Tribolium castaneum: one gene and its partner. The protein of the gene in region 2 purifies or fractionates together with the protein of the main gene of each other region. This does not show direct contact. Links are inferred from orthologs where the notes say so. Each region holds a gene or a part of one and is shown on either strand. Other genes may lie near its edges. The genes, in order: V-type proton ATPase catalytic subunit A and ATP6AP2.

Region 1 (3,377 bases), on a different chromosome or scaffold from region 2:
ATGGAGTTTGTGGTGACTCACCACGAATTAATTTTAAAGTATTTTTCTCAATTTTCTATTTTATTTTTCCTAATTCACAAAATTGTAGTTATTGCGTTAACATCAACATGTATTTACTGTTGAAAGCCTCAAGAGTTAACGTGCAAAACCACCCAATCATAAAACGTTTGTACCAATACAGACAACTGTTATCACAAATGACGCCAGTTTTCGAAGAGGTGATTAAGCCCCAAATTGAGTTACTCTTGAATGAAGAAGAAAAAGAAGTTCCGAAAAAAACATTAAAGGTGTTGAGCACATTGGTTAACAAAACGGAAAAGAAAGACAAGAAACCAGCAGGGAAAAAAGTCCAATTTAAACCAGAAGTGGACGAAAAAGAAGCAACAGATAATGAACAGCAAATGCAAGACGAAGAGGCAAATGTTCCCGAGAATGGTTTGATTTTTGTTTGTTGCGATTTTTTAGTCATGTTTTGTTGTAGATCCTGGCAAGAGGGCTATAACTTACCAGATTGCCAAAAATAAGGGTCTCACGCCGCACAGAAAGAAGGAACAAAGAAATCCAAGAGTGAAGCATAGGAACAAGTTTAGAAAAGCAAAAATACGAAGGAGAGGAGCTGTATGTCAACTTTTAGTATTTTTTCTTAAATTTAATTGCGCTATTTTTAGGTTCGTGAGCCGCGAACCGAAATGACGAGATATGGTGGGGAGCTTTCCGGGATTAAAGCAAGTGTTTCCAAGAGCATTAAAATTAAGACTTAATAAAAACGCATATGAAACAACAATGCTTTTATTTCTGTTTACAATAAAACAATTTATTGTGCTATTTTCTAGCTAGTTCACTTAATATTAACACAGATAACTGTACAAGTAGCCGTTTGAATAACATGATAAAATATACAACATCGAAATATGCGTAAATAACGAAAAAATAAAATGTAAAGAAAAAAAGGTCCCGATAATACTGGAAAGCTGATAATTGCACGGAAACACGAAAATAAAAATTCCTTAAAAGTAACTGGAATGAAGGGACGAAATTTAGCAATTTACCCTCACCTCTAATCTATAGGACTTAGACCTATGAACTAATTCATTTATAAACATATTGTACATTAATATCGAAAGACGGCAATTTTATAGTGAGGTTAAATATACGGCCTACAATAAAACTAATTTAATCCTCCAAGTTCCTGAAGGCTTGTTGAATATCCTCGTACAACTGGTCAAAATCGGCTTTGATTTTCGCCTCGCCGTCTTTAACTGGGTCCTTGAACTTCATACTGCTCAACTGGTACAAAATATTGCTCATGGAATCCCTGATCACGGTCCACGTGATTTTATTTTCAGACTGCGCGGTGCTTTCAACAGCATGTCGCGACATATCGTACAAACCGATCATATTTTTCAACATACCCACCGTCTTGTAGAACGGACAGAACCTATCGTACGACGAGTACGAATTCTGTTGCAAGAAATCTTCCTTAAGCAACTTGGCAATCTCAAGAGTGATTTTATCGGTCTCGGCTAGGGAGGCTTTACCGACCAGTTGCACGATTTCGGACAAGTCTTCTTCTTCTTGCAAGATCTCCTTGACCTTAGTACGCAACGCGACAAACTCTTGGAAGTTTTTATCGTAGAAATCGTCCAAAGCGCGCGTGTATTTAGAGTAGGAAATCAGCCAATTGATCGAAGGGAAATGTTTACGTTGGGCTAGTTTTTTATCCAACCCCCAGAACACTTGTACGATACCCAAGGTAGCTGAGGTGACGGGATCAGAGAAATCACCACCAGGGGGCGATACGGCCCCGACAATAGAAACGGAACCTTCACGATCAGGGTTACCCAAGCATTTAACACGCCCTGCACGCTCGTAAAACGAAGCCAAACGGGCCCCCAAATACGCGGGGTATCCAGAATCGGCGGGCATTTCAGCCAAACGACCGGAAATTTCTCTCAAAGCTTCGGCCCAACGCGAGGTGGAATCGGCCATCATCGACACGTTGTAACCCATATCACGGAAATACTCAGACAGTGTAATACCGGTGTAAATTGAAGCCTCACGGGCGGCTACAGGCATGTTAGAGGTGTTGGCGACAAGAGCGGTACGTTTCATGATAGACTCTGTTTGGCCTTCGATTTCGACTGTCAGTTCGGGGAAGTCCCGCAATACTTCAGACATTTCGTTACCACGCTCCCCGCAACCGACGTAAATGATAACGTCAGAGTTGGAATATTTGGAGAGAGATTGCGAGATTACGGTCTTACCGCAACCGAAAGCTCCGGGAATGGCGGTGGTACCCCCTTGGACGCACCTAAATAAAAATTGGTAGAGAAAAGGGACTAGTTTTTGAAAGGGGGCTTACGGGAAAAGTGAGTCGAGTACGCGTTGACCGGTTAATAGGGGGTGATTGGCTGGCAATTTCTCGCTGACAGGACGGGGCTGACGCACAGGCCACACTTGCAACATGGTGTATTTGGTCCTCTCGCCGTCGAATTCCGTCTCCAAGACGACTTCCTGTAGCGTAATGATAATTTTTAATTTTTTCCCCAAATGAAAAATAATTAAAAGTAGTGGCTTTTTATAATTAAAATTAAATATTAAATTAAATTAAATTTTAATTATAATTAAAATTAAAAAACATTTGAACGTTCAAAGTTCCACAAATAATATCACAACTCAAAAATAGCTATTTCCGAAATATTTTCTCTAGCTAAACACGAAAATAATCAAAAAAGTTTTGATTAGCTCTTATTGTCAAGATACAGAACTTGCTTGGGTAATTAATCTCACCATGGCTGGTTTGTGTGAAATTTATTCTTAGCTTGATTCTCTATTTGACCTTTTCAATTAAGTTTCAAACATTTCTGGTCGTATACAGAACGAGAAATTAAGATATAATCCAGAATTAAAATAATTCGAATTAGGTAGCCATTAGTTTTGCATTGACAAACCTCGAGTTCATGGCAAATTAAATTTTAACTACAATCACAATTATCGTGATAACGTTTAAAAGTTTTTTTTGTTGTTTTGTTTTTAGATTAGATTTATTTATTTTTGTCAATTCCACATATTTTGATACTGGCTCTTTTATTATTATTATATTATTATAAAGTACTTACCTAAGAACAATTTAACACATTTTACTTATTAGAAAGACTCATTTCCTTTGAACAATTTTTGTATCGGTTTAGAGTAAAAAAATATTTAAGTCGACGTGTCCAAAGTTTCAGATGTCTGTTCGCCTCTATTATTATTGTTTTTTCAATTTTTTTTTAATTTTGGCTTAAATAACTATAATGTAATTAGTTATTTATTTAAACAATTTCCTCATAAAAATGTGAATTTTAAAAAATCGTTCTATTTCTACTCATTACAAT
Region 2 (4,352 bases):
ACTTTTTTTGTTCAATGCGACCAGCCGTGTGAAGGGAAAGTCCCTTCTTTAATCAAGGAAGCTGTGATCACAGTATTACATAAGTTACACTAATTTACACATCTAGAATGGTATTTTACAGAAAATTTAACAGGAATATACACACAATAATACTATCCGAACTCAACGTTCCCACTTAATTATCCTTCTTGAGACGAGTGCTCGTCATCCTGTAAATAATGGAGTCCCGTCCAGGATCCATTTGAGCAATTGCAATGCAAATAGCAAGTAGAGTAAACGTCATTGCGACCCCAAACCACAGAATAATATTAAAAATAACTGGATAATCCTTGCTGTAAAACTTGGCAGGGTTCACCTATAAAACGATTAGTAAAAAAAAACAAAAATCACTATTACTTATTTTACTTTGGTCTCTTGTGTGTCCTTGGGTTCAGGTTTCTTTTCTTGCAAAATGTTTCTAGCACGTCTGGTGTGCACAGCATCGCTTGTTATGACACTGACCAAAACCTTGTCCTTGTAGACTTTGGTGAAAACAGAATTCAAGTGAAGGATTGCATCATTTAATAGCTGTTTGGCTTCTTTAACTTTGGTCGAATTCTCGCCGTACAAGTCGATCAAAGGGTGCAGACTTTCGATTTTGAACCAAAAGACATCGGGAGTGCCATCCAAGTGTAAGCCTGAGTTTTGAATCTAAAAAAAAGTATACAAAATACACTCAAAAAGAGAAAAAACTGTGTTTTTCCATGAAAAAAAAAATTTTTGCTTACAGGCTGGGATTCTAAAATTTATAAGTTATGAGTAAAGACACCCGATCTTTTTAAGAGCTTTTCTTGAAACTCGGAATAAATTTGTTTCGTTAAAAGTGTAAATATTTCGCACCTTTTTTATTTTACCGAAATTCCTAAATTGACTTGTATCCTAAATGTGATTTAAACATCTTAAAATTGTGTTCTAATTCAAAATAGGATATTTTTGCATTTTTTTTATTAGGATTTAGTCTAAAAACAATACATCTGATTTTTAAATTTCTTAAAAATTTTGTAGAATTGCATCAAAAATTATTAATTTTTTAGGCTTCTAGTCTTTCAATTTCATAGTTTCTTTTAGTATTTCAGTCATACAGTTTTTATTTTTCTAAGTATTTCAGAGTAATTTTTCCATATTTCATTTTCTTATAATTCCAGTTTTTCAATTTCTTACTATTGATTATTAAATTATTTTTTAAGGTTGTACTGTTTTTTACTTCTGAAGATTAAAGAGCCCTTGCACAGCATTGTTTTAGTCAAGTCACTTTAAAAAAAATGACTTACCTTCTCACTATAAATTTTAATAAACAGTATAACAAATTAGAAACATTAGGCTTGTTAAAACTATTGAACGCGTAAATATAATGTAAATTTTTGTAAAAAATATTCTAGAAGTTGTGGACAAATTATACAAAAAAATCTGGATATAGAAATCTACTGAAAATAAAAATATTTATTGAATGAAAAAATATTGATAATGCCTGATATTAGAACTAGTATTAGTATGAATTTTCTGAGTTCATTTTATAAGTATGTCAACCTAGAAAATGAACTGAAAAATTTTTACAGTAAAATAAAACAGCAAATTTACAATACTATTTAAGTCAACAATTAATTACTTTCTTTATAGCTGTATCTTTATGCAGTAAAGAATTATAAGTTTTTTTGCAAAACGTATTTTGTTTTGTTTGTTTTTATAATGGAATTTACTGCATGAAAATTTATGTTTTTTTTTTCTGCAAGAGGAATTAACAAAAAATGTAAACTAAATAAAGTTTTTAACATCCAAAAAATCCGGTCTAGTTATAAATTTAGTTGACCAGTATAAATTTAAAAATCTTAAATCTGTAAGCAAAAATATTTTCCTTTGATAGAAAAACATTATTTTTGTATATTTTTAATTTATTTTTTGCTCCTAAGTCTACTTATTCTAATCATTTTTCTCTTTTTCTCTGAGTTGCAGTGTCACTGCATTGTAAAACAATTATTTTGCGCTCTTTTTAACCTAATCTAACACTTTAACACCCCATTTAGGGGGTAATTAACTATATAGAATTGCTTTGTCACGCATTTTACGTGAGTACATAAAATTTCAATTCATTCGGACAACAGGAAATAATATCTGGTCAGAAATGAACTTTTTGCCACATATCCAATAATTTTACGTCAAATAATTGCCAACCAAAACAACTACAACTGACCTCGTCTGCAATGCTGTTCAAGACTGTAATTTCGTTCAAAAACGCTTGGTCTTCCTCCACGCTAGCTTTGAGATAGTTTAGGACTTTCTTCGACTTGTCGAGTTTAAGATTTCTGAAAACTTTATGCTTGTGGAGCTGCAAGTAACTAATTAGGGGGTTGTGGTCTAGGTCCGCCTTATACCTGATGCAAACTATCACCAGCGCTAATTCGCACCAAATGACCCTCAGTTTCGGGATACCTTTGCAAAACCCGCCTTTCCAAAGCTGAGAAAACATCAAATTCGTCAACGTTCGTTTTAAGCGGGAAATTGTGCCCTTTGCCGTTGCCAATGTCCGAAGTGCCGTCAACGCTGACGGTCACCACAGCCTTGGCCAAATTAAAGGGGTCCTCAATGTACAAACCATCCCAGTTCGAGTACTGCTCAGTCGAGAAACCCAAAGCACTCGAATACACCTCCTTCAAAATGCTCTCTTTGACGTGGTCGTGTCCCTTGAAGAGCAGACTTGGAGGGTGGTGAAGAATCGTCAGTTCACCATTTGCGGAAACTGTACGAATTTAGAAAAATTGATTGTTTGGACGATTTCTCACCTGAGGCGCCCAGAAATGCGACACAAATTAACGGAACGATCATTTTTCGGTCTAATTTTCAGAGTTTTGGAAATTTGAAGTCATATGACATTAAACTAACCACACCACCCAAATGTCATAATCATATGACAGTCTTGTGACAGGTGAAGCGGCACGTGCGCATGCGCGCAAGCGCCAAATTCAAACGCACGATTAAATAATCTCAATTTATTATAAATAAGTACATTAGACAGCGGTTTAAGTCGTGCACATAGAAAAATAATATCTCGCGGCGTGAGTTAGTTGATTTTGGGCCGTATCTTCTCGTACATGACGTTCTGTAGTTTGTCTTTAAGAGTGTGTTTTTTAATAAAGTGGAATTGGTCCAAGGCGAACTCGTAGAGCTCGTTTTCCATCTGCCACACTGTGCTCTCTTGGATTTTCTTGACGGTGGTCGGAGAAGGCGCGTCCTTCTGAACGGTCTGCCTCAAGTGCGACTTGTTGCTGGTGAGGTAGTGGTTGAACGCGCCTTTGAATATCCGTGGAAGGGTTTGCTCTAAAACGGCAACAAAGTCGTTGATCTCGTCCGTTACTCCCACGAGGAGGTAATTGTTGACTAAGTTCTTCTTTGCCTCGGTTAGGGCCCACTTATTGCCGGGCTTCCAGCAGTTGGCGGCGTGCCCGCACAAGAAGGGGATCTGGAGCCACATGTGGTTGGGGTCGCAGTCAGGGAGGTTTTTCTCAACGCATTCGTCGAAAGACTGTAAATTGGGCGTTTACTACGTTATGTGGCCGCCAAATGGGGGTTTACCATGGTGTTGCCGTGCTTGCGGCGCACCAGATAGGGCCGGTAGTTGTCCCCGTATCTGACAAAGTAGTAGTAGGAAATGAACCGCTCTAGGGGCTTTCGGAGAATGTTGATGAACAAGGGCTTAGGGCCCCCGAATTTCGTGAAGTCGATGAAGGCAAAGTGGCCGTGGTAGATCCCCGGTTTCATCGCCTTCCAGGTGGTGACGTTATGAACGAATTCGTGTTGATTGTTTAGCGATAAAACGTGATTATTGGCAGTTATGTTCACGTGTAAAACATGGAATTTATTCTTTTTACACAAGTCGTAAGCGACGCCTATGAAGCTTGTGGATCCAGTCTTTGGTACTCGATTGTATACAACTACTAAATCGTCGTTCTCTAACTCTTCTCGACTCTGTTGTTTACGGTCGTTTTGATTTGCATTGTTTTCTAGAAAAAATTGCAGCGAGGGGTGCGGGAATAGTGATACGTACCAAGGTGGAAGATTTTTTCTTGAAGTCGAACGATTTGAATTTGGTAAATTATTGCAATAAAGGTCATAACAGTTATTGTTAAAAGGTACCCTAACCTTACGCTATTCATCACCGGTGGGTATTTTGTTGACCTTTTTTATCGAAAAATAATATGCATGGTTTCGAGTATTTTATTCAGGAAACAAACAAATCCTATTTGTTTTATTAATCATTGCTTGAACTGAATGGTTTCTTCAAACACCTGATCACTACCGACAATGTGCTGCGCCCTGCG

What was found.
Region 1: the proteins of ATP6AP2 (region 2) and V-type proton ATPase catalytic subunit A purify together in Homo sapiens (co-immunoprecipitation; 3 studies listed by BioGRID and IntAct, with this or other methods). This does not show direct contact. The link is inferred for Tribolium castaneum from reciprocal best matches to the Homo sapiens genes ATP6AP2 and ATP6V1A.

Annotation. Positions count from the first base shown.
Region 1 is NC_087402.1:9,102,471-9,105,847, reverse strand, and holds the end of V-type proton ATPase catalytic subunit A, read right to left. Parts: intron 2,515-3,377; coding exon 2,363-2,514; intron 2,312-2,362; coding exon 1,174-2,311; 3' UTR 774-1,173; downstream 1-773. Other genes in the region: Sas10 (something about silencing protein 10), read left to right, coding at 1-38, 89-435, 482-618, 669-761. UniProt on the Homo sapiens protein: Catalytic subunit of the V1 complex of vacuolar(H+)-ATPase (V-ATPase), a multisubunit enzyme composed of a peripheral complex (V1) that hydrolyzes ATP and a membrane integral complex (V0) that translocates protons.
Region 2 is NC_087398.1:10,554,934-10,559,285, reverse strand, and holds the start of ATP6AP2 (ATPase H(+)-transporting accessory protein 2), read right to left. Parts: upstream 2,975-4,352; 5' UTR 2,860-2,974; coding exon 2,817-2,859; intron 2,774-2,816; coding exon 2,409-2,773; intron 2,363-2,408; coding exon 2,228-2,362; intron 691-2,227; coding exon 406-690; intron 356-405; coding exon 176-355; 3' UTR 1-175. Other genes in the region: Hs2st (heparin sulfate O-sulfotransferase), read right to left, coding at 3,095-3,556, 3,607-4,034, 4,079-4,187. UniProt on the Homo sapiens protein: Multifunctional protein which functions as a renin, prorenin cellular receptor and is involved in the assembly of the lysosomal proton-transporting V-type ATPase (V-ATPase) and the acidification of the endo-lysosomal system.